Alligator mississippiensis: one gene and its partners. The protein of the gene in region 2 interacts with the protein of the main gene of each other region in a biochemical or structural test. Links are inferred from orthologs where the notes say so. Each region holds a gene or a part of one and is shown on either strand. Other genes may lie near its edges. The genes, in order: ARF6, CYTH2 and ARF1.

Region 1 (7,536 bases), on a different chromosome or scaffold from region 2:
ACAGCACTTCTGCTCGAGCCAGTTAGGTCATGGGAAAAGTGACTGGGTGGCAACCCTTTGGAGTACTATGTCTGCACATGCACGGTATAATCCACCCAGTTAGGTCGCACCTCTCAGTGCAGCTTAAGCCTTGTGAAATGCTGCGTCCAATTTTGCTCCTCCAATGCCTCCGATAAAGGGCAAGCACTTGAGATCTTCTGGGGGCTACCAGGTCAACCCTAGATATACATGGCTGGAAAGGATCTCAGGAGAGTCTCAATGGTCCCTCCCCTGCACTGATCCTACTAAGAATCCAGGGCAGCTGTCTAACTTGTTCTCAAAAAACTTCCTCTGAGGGTTTCACAACGTCATGCCAGAAAACATGTTGCACTGCTTCACCACCCTTAGAGAAAGTTCATGCTATCCAGCCTAATTCTGTGCTGCAAATTAAGCCACTTTCTTCTTGCCCTGCCAATTTTGGGCATGGAGCATAATCAATCATCTTTTTAACAGCCTTCTGAATTCTGAAAGGCTGATCAGGTCTTTTCTAGACAAACCAGTTTCTTCAACCTTTCCTTTTAAGTTGGCAGAGGAGAGCCACGCGCATGATCAGAGGGCAGGAAAACAGACCTTATGATGACAGGCTGAGAGCCCTGGGACTCTTCAGCTTGGAAAAGCGCAGGCTCAGGGGTGATCTGGTGGCCACCTATAAGTTTATCAGGGGTGCTTATCAGGATCTGGGGGAAAATCTGTTCACCAGAGCGCCCCAAGGTCGAACGGTCACAAACTCCGCCACGACCGATTCAGGCTGGACATAAGGAAAAACTTCTTTACTGTCTGAGCCCCCAAGGTTTGGAATAGACTGCTGCCAGAGGCGGTTCAAGCACCCACTTTGAACGCCTTCAAGACACATTAGGATGCTTATCTTGCTGGGATCCTATGATCCCTGCTGACTTCCTGCCCCTGGGGCAGGGGGCTGGACTCAGTGATCCTCCGGGGTCCCTTCCAGCCCGAATGTCTATGAAATCTATGAAGTTATGATGGCAACACTTTTTTTTTTTGCGGTTGCTGCTTTCTTCTGGACTCCAGTCTCTTTACATCCTTTTTAAAGCGTGACTTAAAGCGCACCAGTATTTCATCTGAAGTCTCCACCCACACCAGTACAGTAGAATAACCACCTTCTGTGGTGGCCATTCCTCTTAATACAATGCAGGATGAAATTTGCCTGTTATGCAACAAAATCACATTATTAACTTATGTTCAGCGTACGCTCCATTATAACCTTGAGATCCTTCTTGGAAATACTGCTGCCTATCCAGTTAGTCCCCATTTTGTATTTGTGCCCTTGCTTTCTCCTTCCATAGCATGCTGCACTTACCTTTATCCCATCTTGGTGCTTGCACACAATTTCTCTCTTTATTACGTTCATTTTGATTTCTGATCATGATCTTGAGAGCACCTGAAACACTTTACAGCTTGGTAAGACTGACAGCTTTATAACTGCCCTCTCGATTGCATCATTCAGGATGTTAATGAAAATAGCCAATGGAACTTGGCCCAGGACAAAGGGAAGTAAGACCCCACTGGAAATATTCTCGTAGTTTGACAGTGAAACATTGATAACTATCTTTTAAGTGTGCTTTTTCAACCGTCTAACAATGACTTCACGTAGAAGGCAGGGTAGACACGCCTTACAGACCAGAGGTTCTCAACCTTGCTGGACTCAAGGCACCCCACGTTGGATGCGAGACCCCTCTGTGTAACTTTTGCCACTTGAGCAGCACCTACTTTCAAAAACGGATTCATACATTACTCCCTTTCATGCAAAGGGGCTTAGCAGTGGGAGTGTGGGACAAACAGGGATAAGCCTGTGGCACCCTTCAAAGGATCTGGCAGCACCCCAGGGTGCCCTGGTATCCTTGATGTAGCAGGCAACAGTCCTTCTGGATCATAGTGCATGTGTGAGAGGTCACCAGGACTTTTGACACACACATCCAGAGAGGAGTTTGGAGGAGGGGAGGCTGGCCAGACCTTCTATCCCCCCACTTTAGTCCATTAAGACAGTATCCAAAGTCCAGACCTTCGGTGCTTCAATAGCTGTAGTTACACCTGCATCTAGGAATCAAATTCAGGTCTCCCATGTGGGGGACAAAGATTGAATCACAACTGTGGGTGCACTATGGATGAGACTCACCCTTATAGCCTAACTCAATAAGATGTATATATAAAGCACTAGCTTTCATGAACTCAAGTTCACTTCATCAGACGCTGTGAAAGGACAGCACAGAGCAGCATATAAACTGGACTTCACATAGACCACGCTTCCCGCACGTGCTCAGGAGAACGTCTTGTCACAATGCTAAAAGCTTCACTATAGCCCCAGCGCATCACATATGCCGCTTCCCCTGGACCCATTCCCTTGTCAGACAAGGAAATTAGATTTGGCTGACACAATCCATGGTCACTGAGTCCATGCTGGTGGTCGGGTTGCCAACCTGCCAGGATTGCCCTGGAGTCTCCAGGAATTAGATATAACTCTCCAGGAGACTGCTGAGAGTCACCTGGGACATAAATGATAGGGCATTCATTAAAATATGCATTAAATGTTTAATCTGATTTATATAGTAGTCTAGTGGGGTTTTAAAATGTAATAGTAATGTGCATTTGCCTTCCTGATGTAAAGTCTACGCACCATAATCTATAAGTGGTATACACAAGCACATACGTGTTGTGTTGTGAGCATGACGGCATTCTGGAAACCTCCCAAAATAGATTCGGAGTTCATAACCCAGGCTGGTGGGATGGGTTGGTTTAGGTTTTACTTGATCCACCTTAACCTCTGCCTGGTGCTTCTAATCAGTTCTCAACATTCACAGACTCATGGCAACCCTTGGTAGACTCATGGCATCCCTTGATAGAGTCAGTGCCCCTTGATAAACTTGCAGCACCCCTTGATAGTCATAGAAAATGAGGGTTGGAAGGGACCTCAGGAGGTCACATCTAGTCCAACCCCCTGCTCCAAGCAGGATCAGCCCCAACTAGATCATCCCAGCCAAAGCTTTGTCGAGCCGGGTCTTAAAAACCTCCAAGGATGGAGAGTCCACCACCTCTCTGGGTAACCTGTTCCAGTGTTTTACCACCCCCCTAGTGAGGGTTTTTCCTAATATCCCTCAACTTCCCTTGCTGCAACTTGAGCCCATTGCTCCTTGTCCTGTCATCTGCCAGTCCAGCTCCTTCCTCTTTTGAGTCCCCTTCAGGTAGTTGAAGGCTGCTATTAAATCCCCTCTCCGTCTCCTCTGCTCTAGACTAAATCACCCCGCGCCCTCAGTCTTTATAAATCACATGCTCCAGCCCACAGACCATTTCTGTTGCCCTCCGCTGACTCTCCCCAGTGTGTCCACATCCTTTCTGTAGCGGGGGGCCCAAAACTGGACACAGGACTCCTGATGTGGCCTCCCCAGTGCTGAGTAGAGGAGAATAATCACTTCCCTCGGCATGCTGGCAACGGTCCTACCCAAGCAGCCCAGGATGCCGTTAGCTGTCTTGGCAACGAGGGCACACTGCTGGCTCATCTCCAGCTTCTTGCCCACTGTCACCCCAGGGCCTCTTCTGCAGAGCTGCTGCCCAGCCAGGCACCCCCAGCCCCCACCGGTGCAGGGCATTGCTCCGTCCCAAGTGCAGGACTTTGCACTCGTCCTTGTTTAATTCCTTTTGACCCAATCCTCCAAGTTGTCTAGGTCACTCTGAATGCTAGCCCTGCCCCCGTGTATCTGCTACTCATGACATCTCTGACAGACACGTGGCACTGCTTGTCAGACTCAGGGCACGGCTCAGAGGCCAGGTCTCAGTTGTCACTGTGTGCTGCAGGAACACAGGAGACTAGAGCCAAGAGCTGGGGACAGGCTGGCTTGGACACTACGGACCGCACTGGAAATATGTAGGTCGATGTTGTGCCCGGCGTGGCCCAGCCCTGCGTCCCCCACGTGGCTCGGGCCCGCGCGGCCTGGCCCTTTAAGAGGACCCCGGGGCACCCCCGCGCGCAGCTGCTGACGTGGGATCGCGTGGCGCCTCTCCCCATAGAAACCACACCCCAGCCGGTGCGCGCATGCGCACACCCTCCCTTTAGCCCCCTCCTTCCCCAACTGAGCAGGCGCAGCCGCAGCAAGGCGGAAGTCGAATTTAGGCGGCGCCCGGCTCTGCGCATGAGCAGCGCGCGTCCCGGGAAAATTACGCGAGCCAAGGCCGCTCCCTTGTGTTCCGGTTGCGCAATGCCGCGCAGGCGCCCTGCCCGCCTTCCTCCTCCTCCAGCAGGCTTCGCCCCACCCGAGTGACGTCAAGCGCATGCGCACACCCCAGCGGGGGCATCACCGTTGGCGCGTCCCTCTCCTCCGCATGCGCGGTGAGGCCCAGAGCCGCTGCACGCATGCGCGGTGCGTCTTGCGGCCGGGCGTGCGTGGGCGCGGCGCAGGCGCAGTGCGCTCGCGGAGGGGGAGGGGCCGCCTCATAACGGCCGGTCCGGCCGGGCGGGCGCGTGGTGCGCCTGCGCGTTGCGAGCTGAGGGGAAGTGAGGCGGGCTTTTCCGGCGGCCTGAGGGGAGCGGCGGCGGCAGTGGCAGGTAACGGGCTGCTCCGCGAGGCCGGGTCGGGCCCCTCACGGGCGGGCGCTCACCTTGTCTCTCGGTCCCTCCGCAGGCAGGAGCCGGTGCCGGCTTCCATGAGCTGAGGGGCCGCCGGGTGCCGACGGGCTAAGCCGGGCCTGGCCTGGGACAGCGGCCCACGCCCCCCCACCCCCCTTGCTGGGCCGCGCCCGTGAGGAGCCCCCTCCCCCCCTTCCTCCCCCCGCCCCTCCCCCACCCCGGGGCCCCGTGGATGCCGCCGAGATGGGCAAGGTGCTGTCCAAGATCTTCGGCAACAAGGAGATGCGGATCCTGATGCTGGGGCTGGACGCGGCGGGCAAGACCACCATCCTGTACAAGCTGAAGCTGGGCCAGTCGGTGACCACGATCCCCACGGTGGGCTTCAACGTGGAGACGGTGACGTACAAGAACGTCAAGTTCAACGTGTGGGACGTCGGCGGGCAGGACAAGATCCGGCCCCTGTGGCGGCACTACTACACGGGCACGCAGGGCCTGATCTTCGTGGTGGACTGCGCCGACCGCGACCGCATCGACGAGGCGCGCCAGGAGCTGCACCGCATCATCAACGACCGGGAGATGCGGGACGCCATCATCCTCATCTTCGCCAACAAGCAGGACCTCCCCGACGCCATGAAACCCCACGAGATCCAGGAGAAACTGGGCCTGACGCGGATCAGGGATAGGAATTGGTACGTGCAGCCCTCCTGTGCCACCACGGGGGACGGACTCTACGAAGGGCTGACGTGGTTAACGTCCAACTATAAATCCTAATGGCGGGCGGGGGGGGACACGCACGCGCGCACACATACAAATGAAACTCTTTTAGGCTATGGAGAATTTAAGGAAAATGAATAAATAAAGAAATAAAGAATTAACCCACGTGGCTTCCCAGAAGACCAGTTCTCGGCAGAAAAGCAAAGCATCCATAGGATTATGATCACCTCTTCTCCCACAACCGCCCTTTTCTTCGACACACTGACTGGATTCCTATTTTAACTCTTCTTGCTTGGCATTAGGATGCTCTAATCCTCAAATGTGACATGAACACAAGCACTAGATGCTATGGCAGACTTCCAGCAAACAAGGGGAAAAGACACGTTGTAGATTTGCTAAGTAACTCTTTTTTTTTTTTTTTTTTTTTCATTCTTTCTTGACTACCCTCTTTTTTTTTTTTTCCACCCCCATTCCTCTGGGGTGGGAGGAGTAAGGGTACCTCTGGGTGTATGCTTTCTGGCTCTTTTTTTTTCTTTGAATTGCTGTAGATTGCTACTTTCTTGCATTCATGCAGAATATGTTGATAGGTCTATTTCATCTAGTAAACTAAAAATGATTGCTTAAAATCAAACCGCAGTCTGTCTTTTTATATGGAGGACTTTTTTTAAAAAAAAAAAAAAAGTTCTGCTGATCTGTAATTAGTGACTTGAAATTTTGTCTTTTTCATCTCCAAGACTAATATGAAATAAAAAAAAATGTTTGCCTACAGCAGCAGGTAGTGAGAATACCATTGTAATGCGTTCAAAGTGTATATCAGGTGTAATGTTAACTAGGTAATGTAAGAACTGCTTGAAATGTCAGCTGTGAAGTTCTGAACCATACATCATGCATGAATAGGGATGCAAGTAGGTCCCATACAGCATAGCAACCATATAGTGAGTAAGACGTGAATGATGTAATAGTTTCAGGGTATACTCCTATTCAGTTCCTGTTGCATTGCAGCTAAATATCACTGACTCTTGTGATCATAATCAGTTACACATCAGACTCCCATTTCAATGCAAGAGATCTCCAGAAAATGTAGCAATAATGTGATGATTTTTACTTAAAATCAAAACTGTGGGCAAAAATCAGACCCTGACTTCCTTGTCTTGCAGTACAGGAAATGTTTGTGTTGACTCCTTCCCTCCCCCCCCTTGCCTTATGTGATTTTTATGTAGCTTTAAAGGAGCTGCAGAGAAACAACTTCTGTTTCTGTACCATAAACACTCAAGTAAGAAAGCTCACTCCTAAGCTTTTAACTGAAAGGTGTTTTTTTTTTTCTTGTTTTCTTTTTATTTTTTTTAATGCTTGAATAATTACCATTTAGAGGAAGTGATTATCAGTTTAGTTTTTGCAAGACCACAAATTTTAATTAATGCAAGTAGCTGCAAATGGCCTTAGCCCTCTGTTCCAGTAGCATGTTAATATAATTCTGTATGAAAGGATCTCCATTGGCTGTCCGAACTTAAATCCAGTGAGTAACTGCTCAGTCAGGGTGGGGAGAAGAGTGAGTATATGACTATGAATGTAAATCTCCATATTTAGGTCTTAAAGGGCAAGCAGCTCATTTGCTGTATCGCAGTTTTCAGATGCCTGTGACTGGCAAAAAAACCAAGTGTTTGAGTAGGTATGAAATGAGTTCAATCAAGTATTAATACTAGGTGCAAAAAAAAATTGTAAAGCAGCTGGTTCTTATTCAGCCTTAAAGATTAACTTCAGATTTCCTCAAGGAGTTAAAGTCTATTGGGGAATTCTAGGAATGTATGCTACAAAACCAGAAGAAAATGGCTTTTCTCTTTTTTTTTTTTTCTTTTTTTAGGGTATTAGATTCACATTTAAATTGGGGCATTACACTACATTTTTGCAATTTTAACTCTGCATGTTAAATATAATGTACATGGAGCTTTTTACCAAAGATGTATGGGAAGATTAAAAATTGAGTGCTTAAGGCCACTTGGAAAAAATTGGTGATTAGAAAATGGCTCTAAAGAGGGACACAATTGGTGTGAATTGCAAATCGCAATGAAAGGGTTCTTGATGCTAGAAAATGGAGCAGTGATTCCTAAAGAAATCTGTGTAAATGAAAAACCAATTGGAGAAGCTAGCTAAAAACCAATGATCCTAAATTCCCAGTTTGGATGGGGAAATGAAAGATCTCTACTTAG
Region 2 (7,675 bases):
CTGGCACACCCCAGTGCAGTGCCAAGGAGCTGGGGCAGCGCAAGTTCCATGTGCCACCCACGGCCACCCGCGCCTCCTTCTGCTACGAGAACGAAGTGGCACTGAGTGCCTGCCGTGAGGAGGAGGGGGAGGAGGAGGAGGAGCAGCAGCCAGGGGGTGGTGGCAGTGGAAGGGGCCTGGCTAGTGACAAGGGCAAGGAGGGGAGAGCAAGCAATGGCCTGGAGGCCACGGAGATGCCCGGTGGGACATGATGGGTCAGTGGCATCAGACTGTGGGGCTGTGGAGGAGGAGGAGGAGGAGAAGGGGGAGGAGGAACGCAGCAGTGGCTGAGGAGAGCAGGGCAAAGGGGTCCCTAGGGTTCCCACACCTGAACTCTGGGCAAGGGGAACCCCCCAGCCTGTCTCCCCTGGGAAGTCAAGAGGGGAGCACCAGGGGGAGCCCAAGCCTGTCTCTCCTCTCCTTCACCCCCGAAGAAGACGGGGGGAACCTAATGCTAATGGGACAGCCCCGCCCCGCCCCATCTCTCACCTGCCCATGGGCAATATCCAGCCCCTGCCCCAGAGCCCAGCCTGTACAGACCCAGTCCCCTCTACACCCACTCCTGGGATTGTCAGGGGTTGGGGCCCCCTGTATGTAACTGGGGCTCATTGCTGCTACCTCCTTTGAGGACACTGCTGAGCTGTCCCGCTCCCCCAGCAGCCCCATCCCCGTCTTGCTCTGGCTTTTAATGGGGGAAAAGATGCTGTTAACTGGGGGTGGCACCCCCTGAAAGCTCCCCCCCTTCCCTCCCCCCCCTCCCATTCTGCTAGCCACAATGCCACTTTAGTAGCCATGTTGGATCCAGCTGCTCCCCTGCCACTTAGGATGACTGAGGATCCCCAGGGAACTGGCAAGGCTTAGGGGTCTGTTCCTGGGGGATGTGGTTGTTGGGGGCCTTGGGGTCCAGAGAGGGCCCAAGCCATTAAAGAAAAGCCACATAGCACCACTGCCCCCTGCTGGCTGGGCCTGCAGCCACCCAGCTGTGTGTCAATAGCCCCATAGTGCAGTAGCACAGAGAGGCAGGGGCCTGGGGGAGTCAGGGCAGATCTCCCCCTCCGCCCCCCACATCCCCAGATCACCCAAGTGATGCAGATAAATACAGAAATAAAGAGAGAATTTGGAGAATTCTGGTCTGTATTATTCTTGCCAAATGAGGTGTATGGGCCTCATTCCCTCCATGCCAACCCCTCACCCACTCCATTGGCTGGATGCCTTCCCACACTGGGAAACCCCAACTCCAGGGGGCCCTGGCTCACACCCAGCCCTGGCATCACCTGTCCCAATCATTGGCAGGGCATGTTTGGGTGATTTCTGGTCTGGGCCTGAGATCCCAAAACACACAGGAGGGGCCGATTCTGAAGCATGTTTACATCAAGGGATTTGCTAGATGGAGACCTGGACAGATAGCTAGAGGCATGTGTGGGGAGGGAGGGATGAATGAATGCATGGACACTCTGTGTGGCCTGGTACTGGAGAGGGCTGTGAGGGGGTGGCTGAAGTGGGTAGAAGGCTGTGGGAATGGTTGACTATCTGCATGGGACAGACCATGAGCTGTGTAGGGCTTGGAGGCTGTGTGGGCCCAATGAGTTGTGGGGTGCCTGGGGCACCTTTGTGGGGCTGGCGGGCTGGAGCAAGGTGTGGGACAGGGTGTTAGGGTGGCTAGTGGGGATGTGGGGTCAGCAGGCTACAAGGTATTTGCACGGGTTGTCGGGAGCTGTGGGGATGACGGGTGGTGACGTGTCTGTGTGGAGGTGCTGAACTGTGGGCAGCTGTGGGGCTGCAGGATAGGGCAGAGGTGCCTGAGGCATGTGGGGCTGCAGGGTGATGATGTTGGGGGCTGTGGCACATCTGTGGGCTGGCTTTGGGGTGCTGGGGCCAAGCTGGCCTGTGGGCGCTCACTGAAAGACCACGCTGGCTGGGCCAGGCCAAGCTGCTGGGGTGTGTGTGAAGGTCAGAGCAGGGAGGGACAGCTTGGAGCCCAGCTGGGAGCTCACATTAATCTGACACAGTTTCAGTCGCTAATCCCAGCTGCTTAGCGGCTGCCCCAGCAGGGGAAATGGGGCCTATTAACTTGCTCCCCCCATGCCCCCAGGCCCAGCCCAGCCCCTGCCCCATGGTCCCCACCCTACTGGCCCCTGCATTGTCCCAGCCCATGGGGCACAGCGGGTCAGAGAGGGCTGCGCTCTGCTCTCAGCACCAACTCCAGACCCTGACACTCTCAAGGTGAGGCCATGTCACAGGTGTCTCAGCTGACACCCTGGCCGGCTGATAAACCCAGAGAGGAACATGCTCTTACGCCCAAAATAACCCCTCAAGAGCCCTATTCTTAGCCTATCGGGTTGGCAGGGAGGGGGTGAGAGTGGTGCTCTCTGACAGGAACTATCCAGCGCTAAGAGGTGGCTTCCAGGGGGAGATCAGGATTCAGCCCTGACCCTGCTGCCATCAGGGTGTGACTTCAAATTGATTTCAAACTGGCCCAGCAGAGCTGACATCAGGATCTGGCCTTGATCTCACTGCAGTTAGGGGGTGACTCCAGCTTGGTCCTTGGGGGTGGCTGAGATCAGAATCAGGCCCTCCACATCCCTCCCCCTCTGGGGATGGATCCGGACAGCTCAGCCTGGGTCAACACTGTCAGGAGATGGGTAATTCAGCTTAGCAGATGTCTGGAGCAAGGGAGCCTTTGGGCTTCCTGCTCCTGGGAAGCTGCTCCCAGATAGTGCCTGATGCAGGAGGAGCAAGGTTTAAGTAAGATCTAGTAAGGTGGGGAGAATCCACACCGGAGTCAGCAACCTTGGGAGAGACCCCCATGCTGGCAGGCAGCCAGCTGTGAGCTGCAGGGTGTGCATCCACTGCTGTGCACCCAGCCCTGGCTTCCAGCTCGTACTCCCCACCTGCTAATCCCTCCTCTGGGTTTCCCCACTGGGCTCCTTCCAACTCATCACCAGTGACAAGAGGCTCGGCACGACAACCAGAAAGGCAGGAAGTGCAGACGAGGATCCACTGCAAACAGTGCCCTTGCCTCCCGACCCCCAGCCCCTACCACCCCTTGACCTCCCCCTGGTACTGCCAGTGCCCCTCCCTCCTGCCCCACAGCACTCCCAGGACCCTGGTTCCTCCCCCCACACCAGGTACACACCGCATCAGCCTAGCCCCGGAGGGTGGCCACTGGGATCTACAAAGCCTAGGGGATGCAGTTCACCCCCATGTCCCCATCAAGAAAGTTAGGCAGGGCCCTGGCCAGAACCCTGCCAATTTCGGTCCCCCTCTGCGCGATCACCCCCCTGCAGCTAGTTTCAAGCGCCCCCTGGTGACTGCCACTGGGAAAGACAGCAGTGCTCCAAAAATGACCTGATCCCCAGCATCTCTTAGTTGGGGGTGTGGAGGGAGTGTAGGGGAGGTTGAGGAGAGGGTGGGAGTGCATTGGTGGGTTAATGGGGCTGTGGGTGGGAGGGGGATGAAAAGGGCGTGGGGGTGGGGTGTGGGGATGGAGGCTGAGGGCCTGGGAAGGGGAAAGTTTTGCTGGGCTGTTCAATGGAGGGGGGATGGGGTAAACTGGGGAGAGAGGGCTGGGAGTATGAGGAGAGCTGGGGATACATACTTGGATGTGGGGAGGGATGGCAGGTACAGGGCCTGGGAAAGGGGAAGGGGTGATGGAGGGGGCTGGATGGGCAGGGGGTGGGGGCAGCTGGGTGCAGTGGAGGGGTTGGGGCTGGTGGGATGGTGATGCATGCATCAGTGAGTGGGCAGCCGAGGGTGGCTGTGGGGGTATCGGGGAAGGCAGGAGGGGTGTACGCAGGGGGTATATGGGGCATACTTGAGCTGTACATGGGAGTGTACATAGGGGGGTGTGCTGGCTGTATACAGGGATGCACATAGGGTATATGTGGGGTATGCATGGGATGTGTGTAGGGGTGTATATGGCAATATATGGGCGTACATGGGGTGTGTGTCAGGGTGTACATGGGGTGGGCCAGAGGAGTGACAACCCCTCCCCCCTTGCCCTCCCAGCTCACTTTAGCCCAGGGTTATATATTTATTTATAGTTGTATTTTATTTATGAGTCTGATTTATTACTGCTAAGAGGCCAGGGATTGACCCTAGCAACGGCCCAGACCCCTCTAGTGCCTTAGCAACGGCTCAAGCCCCGCCTGCTCCCTATCGAGTCCGTCCATTGGGCGCAGTTAGGGCAGAGGCCAGCGAAGCTCATCTCTTATTGGTTCCTTTGTGTATCATTCATAGTGACTGGCGGCCCAGGAGCAGCCCCTGGCTATTTAGCGTTCCTGTTGGCTCTTTGGACAGTTAATCCAAGCAGAGGCGGGCTTGTTGGCAATCTCGAGCACTAAATGACCGGACTTCCTGTCAACAAGTTTCAGAGCCTACTAGTGTACAATTTTCCTATACTTCATTGGTTCATTTTTCTGTCAATCTCCGCGGTGGAGCAGGTTTTGTACGAACCCTTGTCCCCCATTGGCTGCTCTAGCTATCAATCTTAAATACTGCCCGTTCATTTGCCATCCGTCCCCAGCTATTGGTTGCTGCCGGTGGGAAGGGGTGGGGATTGCAAGAATCGCGCTTTCCCATTGGCTATTGCTCGGGGAGGAGGCGGGCTATTCCCCGCAGTGCTGGGCCGGGCGGACACGAGAGGAGGAAGCAGGCGTTGCAACGGGAGAGCCGAGGAGACTAGACGCAGCGACAAAGAAGCTCCCGCCGGGGCTGGGGCGTTTACCATGGAGGACGGCGTCTATGGTAGGGGCCTGGGCCTGCCCGCCCGCGTGGGGTGAGCCGTACCATTGTATGGGGGTGTGGGCGGAACCATCCGTGAGGAGGGGCCGGGCCGGGCCAGGCCATTTCCTGCTTTGAGGTGGGGCCGGTGGTGCTTGGGCCGGACCGTTCGCCTCAGTCTTGGAAGGGGGTGGGCGAGACCATTCCTGTTGTGCTCGGGGGGGGGGGGGCTGAACCATTTCGTTCTTTAAGGGGGAGGGCGGGGGGGGTCTCTGGGAGGGTGGGACTGAGTAATTTTCTTACCTGTGGAGGGGTCGGGGGTATGAACCATTCCCTTCTCTGTTATAGGGGGCTGTGAGCTGAACCATTCCCTATGTTGGAGAGGGGAGAGAAGAGGGTGGTCTGTGCCATTCCTAGTGTGGGGCAGCGCAAACCGTTTTCTCCCATATGAAGGGGAGTGGAACTGCACCCCGCCCTTTTCTAAGAGTGTTTCTTGGCATGTATGGGGGGTTGGGCTAAACCATTCAATTCCCTGCTGAGGGAGGGAAAACCTGCAGGTTGAACCATTTCCTTCCTAATTGCATAGGGTCATGGATTGAACCATTTTTTCCCCTGTGTTGGGTGGTTGGGGATGAACCATTTTCTCTGCCCCCAACCAAACCTCTCCATTGACTTCCCCCTCCCCCCATGATGGGGGTGCTGGGTCCTTGCCCTTCTGAAGGTCCTGCCCCATCACTTAGCCCCACCCTTGATGTTTAGTCCCATCACAGCCCCTGCCTGTTGGCCCAGGAGGCCAATCAGGTACTTGGCTTGGGAACTCCTTGGGGCAGGGACCCTCCCCTGGCTGGTGCTGCTGTAGCACTGGGATTGGGGCCCAGCCCCGCCCTGGCAAGCACCTGCCCTGGGGTGCCCCTCCTCCTGCCCCATCAGGAGCACAAGCAACATGGCCACTGCCTCCTGCCCATGCTCACTTCCCAGCTCCCCTCCCTTCAGCAAGGATGGTGTGGCTCCTGCCATCTGCCTGGTGCATGCTCTTGTGTTGCCATAGTGATGCCCCTGTTTTTGGGAGGAGGGCAGGGGGGCACTTACGAATGAGTTCGCAGATAAACCACGCATCTCCTCCTCCCTACCGTGTTCCCACGGGAGCCTGCTTGTCCTAAGACCTTGATGAAATCCAGCAGGGACGTGGGCCTGGCTGGGCCCACCTGCATCCACCAGTCCAGCTTCCTGTGGTGACAGACGGCCACGGCACCTAGTCCCACAAGCTCTAGCCTCGGACCAATTTAGTCCCAGGCTGTCACTGGGAGGTCATTCCAACATCTCACTGCACCCCTGCATAGGGACCTACCTCTCCTCTTCCTTGAGCCAAACCAGCCTTGATCACTTTGCTCTTGTGCTTTGGTATCTCTTCTGCATTGAGTCATTTTACTTTAAATGCTCTCCAGAGGTGCCTTTGCTGACAGCGGTTTGGTTTGCAAGGAACGGGCTTGCTGCTGTTTGGTAGAGGAGGGTGCTGAAGGGGCCACTGTCCAAGCTGTTCTCAATGATTACACCCATATTATTGAGTTCCTTTAGTTCGTGTAGTCTAGACCAGGGCTGTCCAGCTGGTGGCCCACAAGCACAACCAGCCCTCCTCTTGCTTCTGCTTCCTGCTCCATGTGGGTGTCATGGTACCAGGGGTGTGGATGTCACTGCCCAGGCTGCCCACATGGTGGGCAGGGACCCTCACACTGCAAAGGGGTGGACCCCAGAGGACCCATGTGATGTGTGGCCCCTGGCTGCTCAGGAGTTGCACAGCCGTGTTCTAGATTATGGATTGCCCCAACATAAGTAATAGGGCCAAGAGCCGGTATCCTGAATCACAGAGATGCTGGGAAGCAGGCAGGGGTTGAACTGTGTAAATAATTGATATAATTTTTTGGTTCACTGGTCAATTGATTCATGAAATGGAAGCAATTCATTTAGGACTTGTGGTGTGTGGGGTTTTGAATGCAGTTTAAATGAACTTTGGAGCCAGCCCCCATTTGAAAAAATAATTAGAACTTACTGAATGGGTCAAACCAGACCTCTGGACTCTTTCCTTTTTCTTGTTATTTTTCTACTACAAGTGAGACAAATGTTGCACCACTGACTTCCCTGCAAACCCAGGACTGGTATAGCTTCACCCAAATATGCCTTTTTCAGGGAGTGAAATATTCAAGGTAAAGCATTTCCCCAGCAGAGGACAGGGTGCTGGCGGAAGCCAAATGGATGGGAGCTGCCTGGTCATCAGGACACAGCCTTTGCAGTGGTAATAGCTGCATCAGTAGGAAGCAGCCAGGTCAAGCCAGGATTTTATCCATGTGATTAAGGCGCACCAATGTCTATAGCCAGTGGCACCCAAGGTTGTAATATGGCTGGTATCACATCTGGGCATTTTGACTCTCCAGCCTGAGTGACCAGGTCTCCATTTGCACTTGGAACAAAGCAGTGGCCTTTAGCAAAAATCCAAAGAAGGGCTCGGCCCATGCTCCTGGAGTCATAGCAAGATCCTCAACCACTGCCACCATTCACCAAGCACCGGCTCCTGGTTAATGATTGCTTCCTTGGGGTAATAATTTACAACAATGCAGGGAATGGGACTCAGTGACCCAAGAGTACCCTGCAATCCTATGTTCCTATGTGGAAAACGCCTAGAAGACTTAGATGAGATGACTCTTGTTGGTCCAGCTATCTAGTTGTGAGAGATGTTAGACAAGCTTTTGGGCACATTGTGCCCTTCTTCAGGACCAAACTCAACCAAGAGGGCACTTTGTGCACAAAAGTGTGTCAGTTGTGTCCCAATGGTACAGTTGTTTGATCAAGGGTACAACAGTACTCCAGCCCTAGTGAGGATGCTGCACTAGTGACCCCTCTCAGAAACCACGCAGAAGAA
Region 3 (6,977 bases), about 180 Mb from region 2:
CCACATCCCGAGCCGATGCTGGGCAATCCTAGTATGCAGAGACTTGTTCCTAAAACACAGAACACATCAAACAACTGGCGTGTTTCTTTGATGACCATGTGAAACAGCAGTGACAAAGTTAAAATAATCCTTTACAAAAAATGTTTCCTCGGTTCAATGATTTCATAGATTTTATAGACATTTGAGCTGGAAGGGACCCCGGAGGATCATCGAGTCCAGCCCCCTGACCCATGGGCTGGAAGTCAGCAGGGATCATAGGATCCCAGCAAGATAAGCATCCAAATGTGTCTTGAAGGCGCTATGTTCTTAAAAGTAAGACTTCAATTCCCCCTATTTATGCAACTTACACACTATTTGCATTCGTTCACCACCAACAACAGTGAAATTTGACTTCTCGGTTTTGTTTTCTCTTTAATAACTATATGTCAGTTGTTGCCAAATCTCACCACAATCCCTGTTTCCTGAAAGCCCCAGTTCAGAAGTCGTGTGTGAATGCTTCAGATCTCTGCTTTCCTCTTAAAAAAAGAAGTTTCTAGGCCTCATGGTTGCAGAGAACAGCATGGAAATGTGACCCAGACGTATCTTAAAGGTACCAAACCTAGAAAGCAAATACAAATAAGCTCAAGGTTATTATTATTATTATTATTATTGTCATTTTAATTACTATTTTTAGACCGATTTCATGATCTCTTTAAACCTGACTCATGATGTAACATTTGGGACCAGCAGTACTGCTTTCCATGTATCTGACACCTGTCTGAGGTCCTGCAAGCACTTTCAGATCACTTTCATAGATCCATAGATGTTAGGGGCTGGAAGGGACCTCAAGGGAGGTCCAGCCCCCCTGCACTTGGCCAGGAAAGACCGCTGGGGTCAGATGGTGCACATCAAGTCATTTTTTAAAGATCTCCAGGATAGGTGATTGTACCACCTCTGGGGGGAAATAAGCAATCTCCAGATGAGGAAACTGAGGCACAGAAAAGTGAAGTAACTTTGCACCGAGTTCACTCACACAGGTGGTAGGATCAGAGCCCAAATGTCCTGATTGCTGGGCTGTTGCCTTTATTGAGGTGTTCATGTGTAACCTGAGCACTGGTAACAACTGTAGGGAAAGCCGATTAAGTCAGGCCTTCTTAAATTTGTACACAGTTGTTTCCTAGACAGCTTATCTTGGCGACATGCTCCCTTCTCTCCCTGATTACATGGGCATCCTCTGCTCCCATCCGCAGTCATGTAACATTGCTATAGCAACTATAGAAAATGTTTACTCAAAAAAGTTGTATTAGGCAAGTGTTTATGTCCCTTTCCCCTGCTTTCTCTGTTGTTTGGGACCTTGGTCCTCCTCTGTCCTGAGCATGCAGCTCAACCAACCCATCCTCTCCTCCTCCTGCTCTTCTGCACTTACTGCCTGGCTTCCTAACTCCACTTTCCCCTGATCCCCGTGTGACGACTGGGTTGTCTGGTCGCACTGGTTGTTCTGGTCCGTAAAGGTGCTGTCCTTGCCTTTCACCCTCTTCTGTCACTAAAGCGTCTATACTAACTCACTCTCGTTATTTCCATTGGGTTTGACAGCTCATTCTTTGCATCGGGAAGACTGAGAGCTTGTGTCACAAAAGGTGCGTCTGTGTCACCAGAAGGCGTGTGCATGTTTCCATTGGGTTGTGAGACGGACACAAATCGCAGTGTGTGCACTTTTCCCCAAAGCCTAAAACACATTCGTGGTACTATGGAGCGCGAGGCAGGTTCATGTATGTACATAGCACCACCGGATGGAGACTTTCACAAAGCATGTGTGTGTCACACCAAGCTGTGACTCATGTCTTTGTCACCCCAAGGCATGAAGTTCATCCACATCATCACAAGGCGTGCACCAGGCACCATGAGGCATGTTCAATCCATCACAGAGTCAGGGTGTCACCACGAGGTGAGCCATGTTTGTGTCACCAGAAGGCAGGCACACGTTGTAAGAAAGGGTGAAAGGGGTATGTTATAAGGCATACAACTGACTTCCCAAAGGTGTCAAACACATCTGTATCCGCACAAAGCGGGAGGCAAAGTCATGCCAGGAAGCACATACATGTCTCCAGAAAGGATGAGATGGCCATGCATAAGACTGGAAATAATTTCTTGGACCATCAAGTCCTGTCCCCAGTCCAGCCCCTCATACACGTCACAGCCACAAAGCACCTTAGGAAAACCAGGCCTGAATTACTGCAAAATGTGGGTGCCACCAATGTCCTGCCACTGGGAGACGTGATGACACTTTTAGCACACACCTATGCTTATGCATGTCATCCCAAGGCATAACGCGCATCTGTCTCACTGCAAGGTGCGAGGTGGGATCAGGTCACTGCAAGGCTTGCGTGTGCCGTCCCGGGTTGCAAGATGGGTTCGTGTTTCAAAGCACGTGTCACAAGCTGTGAATTAACGACATGTCACAATGTGTGTGTATTGCCAGCACAAGGCATTAGGCTGCCCATAAGATGTGTACCTGCCATCATCAGGAGAAAAGCATGTCACTGTGAGGTGTAAGGCAGGATCATACCCAAAGGCAGGCAGATGTCAGTATGAGGTGCAAGTTAGGTATACGTCATAAGCGTGTTCTCATGAAGTGTGACGTGGGTACATGCAACATGTAAGCAAAAGTTCAGTACGCATCACAGGATATATGCATGTCAGTACAAGGGGTACAAGTTGCAAGGTGTGTGTGTGTGTGTGTGTGTGCCTTTCACAAGATGAGTACATGACGAGGCATGTGCATGCTACCAGGGTGTTCCCTGTCACAAGAAATGCATGTGCTCCCAAGAAAGTGAGGGCGCACATATCAAAAGGCAGATGTGTATCACCAGGCCGTGAGAGACTGGTACATTATTGCAAAATGTGTGTGTCACCAGTGTAAGAATGGCATGTACAACAAGGCCTGTGTCTCGGGTACATGTCGCAAGGTGTGTGCGTGTCCCCGCGCAGTGCGAGACAGGTATACGTAGCAAAGCATGCATGTGTCATGGGTACATGTTACTGGGGAGGTGCGTGTCCCCACACGGTGTGAGAAAGATGCACTGGAGAAGGCGTGCGTATCATAAGTGTGTCGCACAGCAGGTGCGTGTCAGCATGCGGTGTGAAGCCGGTACACACAAGGCGTGTGCACGTCACCACACGTTATGAGGCAGGTACACGTGACAAGGTGTGTGCATGTCACCACAAGGTGAGGCAGGTACTCTGGTGTGTATCATAGGTACAGGTGGCAAGGTGTTTGCATGTCAACATGCGGTGTGAGATAGGTACACACAGCAAGGCACGGTGCACGTTATCACGTGGCGCAAGGCAGGTATACGTGATAAGACATGTACGTCACCACACAGCGTGAGGCAGGTGTACATGACAAGGCGTGTGCTCGTCACCATAAGACATGAAGCAGGTATGCACGACATGACATGTATGCATCATGTGGTGCGGGGCAGGTACGCATGACAAGGCGTGTACATGTCACCACACACCGTGAGGCAGGTACGCACAAGGCATGTACATGTCACCACGTGCGTACATCGCCACATGGCACGAGGCAGGTACACATGTGCTCATCACATGGCGTGAGGTGGGTACATGACACGTGTGCACATCACACAGTGTGACACAGGCACATGACACAACCTGTACATGCCACCACACGGTGTGAGACAGGCACACATGACACAGCGTGTACATGCCACCACACAGTGCGGGGCAGGCACACATGACAAGGCGTGTACATGCCACCACATGGCGCGAGGAGGGGGGGTCACATGACAAGGCGAGCTGACGTCACCACCCAGCGCGGGGCGCGTTCTGTAGCGGTGCAGCGCCAGGCCCCGCCCCTAACACCGCCCCGCGACCGTTGCCGAGGCGAGCACGCCCCCATTCCCGTCGTGCCCCGCGCGGGGCTGGCACTGACGTGGCCGCGGCGAGCCGCCATCTTGTGAGCCCGGGCGGAGAGCGGCCGAGACGCGCAGGACCGGCCCCGAGCCACCTCCGACCCGCCGCCGCCGCTGCCGGGTGAGCCGTGCCGTGCCGTGCCGTGTCCTTCCCCCCCGCCCTATCTTCCCCTCCTCCCCCTGCCCCGGAGCCCGCGGGCCGGCGCGGGGGCGGCCTGTGCGGGTGCAGGCCCGGGGTGGGGGAGGGGCGCTGCGGGGAATGGGCTGTGCCGCCCCCCCCCCCCACTCTCCCGGGGAAGGGGGAAACAGCGCTTCCTTCCCCCGCTTGGAGGGAGCCGTGGGGGGTGGGGCAGCGCCCTGCTGCCCCCCCACCCGCCCTTGCACCCGCTTGTGCAACTTCTTGTGCAACCCTCCCCTCCCCCCCCAAAGACATGGGTGACGGCCCAAAGGCACCCCGCTGCGCTCCCCTTGGTGGCTTCCCGTCATTATCCCCGTTTCACAGAGGGGAAGACTGAGGGGTAGTCAGGGAAGCAGCCACCCAAGGTCACTTTTAACAGTCTGCGGATCCTGAGGGTTTCCTGCCCTCCGCTTCCTATTTCCCCCGGCGGGGGGCACGCTCTCGACTGAGGGGTTTATTCGAGGGCTGTCCAGTGCCGCGCGTTTCTCCAGCCGGGGTGCTTCCCTCGCGGTTGCAGCGGTCGCGCCCGGCGGGACGAGCGCCGATAACGTACCTGGCTACCGCCCCAGGAGACGGCAACCTCGATTGTGCGTTGGCCGAGTTTCCTGCCTAGGGACAGCTCAAATGGATGTGGTTTTCCCCCCCTGGGACTCGGTGTGGTGAAATAGAAGAGGTGGGGGATAGGTTTGTGTTTAAAATCCGTCGCTTGGCTCGTTTCTGCTCCGTTTTTTGAGTCTCGACGCACGTCTTCAGTTCGCAGCGTCCGTGCCAGCGATGCCTGCTTAATGGATCGTGCCTCGTTTGCTTACGCCGGGCACGTTCGCTGCCTCTCCTCGCAAAATTAAAGGGCTTTCGGAGGGCTGCGGAAGTAGCCTGGCGAAGGCGTGCGCTGGGGAGACGGGATGGACGCGCAAGCTGAATCTTTACTGTGCCTTATATCTCCTGGTGCAAATTCCCTGCGGTAGGCAGTTGTGTTGAGGGTGCAAATGGGATGTTCAATACCCCTCCTGTGCTTTAATTGCATAGCGGAAGAAGGAAATAAATCAGCTGGTTGGTTGAAGTCAGGAAAGATTGTTTCCTTCTACATACCATCTCCTAACTTCTCAAACGTGTCCAGCGTGGACGCAAAGCATTATTGAGCTGTGACCTTTCCAGGGTAAAGAGAGACTTTATTCTTCTCTTAATGATGTATTTTATTAACTGTAGACCAATATCTACGTTATTTCCGGTAAATCTGATCACCGTATTGTAAGTCCATCAATGGAGAGAGAAAGTCTACTTTTCAAAATCTGTTGAAGGCCTTGTTATGGTTTAAAACCTGTAAAGGTATCAGTATCTGCAACCATCACGCTCTCCCTTAACTGATGAGCAAAGACGTTCAGGACCAGCTTCCTACTACAACAGCTGTGTTTTTGCATTATTCAGCAGTTTTTTTCTTGCCACGTGCAAGTATCTAATTTTATTTCTTGCTTCTAATACATAAAAATAGTGAGGGAATAAGGCATCACTTCTGCTGATTTCTCAAATCTAATATAGTTCTCATTCATGTGCCAATCTTTATCTGAACAGAAGCTGCTGGTGTTTTGGCTTTTGAATTTGGTGACATGTCAGCCACCACTTGCTTCCACTTATTTTCTGTTCACCTAATGTATTTATTACCATATTTGTTTGCGAATTGACACCAATGCGTTGTTTGAACTCATGTCATGAATGGTATGAGGAGCAAGTACTGCAGTTTTCAAGCATGCAAGTAGTTTGTTATTGCAAGCCAAGGCATGCGTTCTGCTTGAGTGGAAGCGAACCCGTTTTATTGTTGGGCCAACTGCAGTGTTTTTGACCTGGGCTGCACCTGTTGAATGGCAACTTAAACTACAATCAAAACGCCTGAGAGGGGCATTGACTGCCAGCCTTTAAATTGGTGATTCTCAGCCAGGGTGCTGTGGGGTACCATGCAATGTTAGCACTGTTAAGTGTGCAGACACAATTCACAGATTCATCCCAGAGACTTCAAGTAGTGTTACAAGCATTCTGGCCTGTTGTGGTCTTTCAGAGTTCTTTACAACAGAAGAATTACTATTTTTTTTCTGTAGTCAAAAAAATAAGTGAAAACTAAGAGCTGGCATTTTCTGAGGAGTGCCTTAGATTCCAAAAGGTTGAGAACCACTGTTCTAAATCAGTCTTCATCTTTTGGGCAATGGGGAGTGTCCAGCACACAGAGGAAACCCTGAATGTGTGGTTCTATGACATGTCCTTCCCCCAGTGCTGTTGGTTCTACGACATTACACCATGTGCGTGCGCGTGCACATCCCCCTAACTTTCCTGATCCTTTTTTTTCCCCCCTAAACTTATCAGTTGATAAAAAAAAAAAAAAAAAATCTAGGCTGCCAACAGTTCGAAGGTGAGTTAGTGAACTACCAAAGGCTGGTAGTTAAAAATCGTTTGGTAAAATTGTGTGTTTCAGGATTTTACTCTTAAAACAGAATTTTATCATTGCTTCTCTTGTCTTAAAATGAAGTTGGAAATAAGAACCTAGTTGGATGTAGGGTTTTCTAATAAAATTTGCAGAGGTTTTCTTGGTTTGTCATCATATGTGCTAGAGCAGTTTTGTGCCCCAAACCATAGGAATGATTTAACTCTTTGGCTTGCTAATCTGCCACAGCACAGATCCAGCCTGTGACATGGTGTTATCAAGCCTATGGGGCTCACAGATTCATAGACGTTTAGGGCTGGAAGGGACCTCATGACATCATTGGGTCCAGCCCCCTGCTCTGGGCAGGAAAGCCTGATGGGGTCAAATAGCCCCGCCAGGGCATATGTCCAGTCTCCTTTTGAAGATCTCCAGGGTAGGTGTCTGCACTACCACTGCTGGGAGTCTATTCTGGAGTCTG

What was found.
Region 1: the proteins of CYTH2 (region 2) and ARF6 form a complex in vitro, tested with the Homo sapiens proteins (3 studies listed by BioGRID and IntAct, with this or other methods). The link is inferred for Alligator mississippiensis from reciprocal best matches to the Homo sapiens genes CYTH2 and ARF6.
Region 3: the proteins of CYTH2 (region 2) and ARF1 are reported together in a solved structure, tested with the Homo sapiens proteins (3 studies listed by BioGRID and IntAct, with this or other methods). The link is inferred for Alligator mississippiensis from reciprocal best matches to the Homo sapiens genes CYTH2 and ARF1.

The regions. Positions count from the first base shown.
Region 1 is NC_081825.1:297,972,602-297,980,137, forward strand, and holds the start of ARF6 (ADP-ribosylation factor 6), read left to right. Parts: upstream 1-4,473; 5' UTR 4,474-4,594; intron 4,595-4,670; 5' UTR 4,671-4,858; coding exon 4,859-5,386; 3' UTR 5,387-7,536. UniProt on the Homo sapiens protein: GTP-binding protein involved in protein trafficking that regulates endocytic recycling and cytoskeleton remodeling. GTP-bound form plays an important role in the transport of multiple palmitoylated proteins form the Golgi to the plasma membrane.
Region 2 is NC_081828.1:38,812,300-38,819,974, reverse strand, and holds the start of CYTH2 (cytohesin-2), read left to right. Parts: upstream 1-4,638; 5' UTR 4,639-4,766; coding exon 4,767-4,785; intron 4,786-7,675. Other genes in the region: KCNJ14 (ATP-sensitive inward rectifier potassium channel 14), read left to right, coding at 1-251. UniProt on the Homo sapiens protein: Acts as a guanine-nucleotide exchange factor (GEF). Promotes guanine-nucleotide exchange on ARF1, ARF3 and ARF6. Activates ARF factors through replacement of GDP with GTP.
Region 3 is NC_081828.1:214,222,367-214,229,343, reverse strand, and holds the start of ARF1 (ADP-ribosylation factor 1), read left to right. Parts: upstream 1-3,922; 5' UTR 3,923-4,032; intron 4,033-6,977. UniProt on the Homo sapiens protein: Small GTPase involved in protein trafficking between different compartments. Modulates vesicle budding and uncoating within the Golgi complex. In its GTP-bound form, triggers the recruitment of coatomer proteins to the Golgi membrane.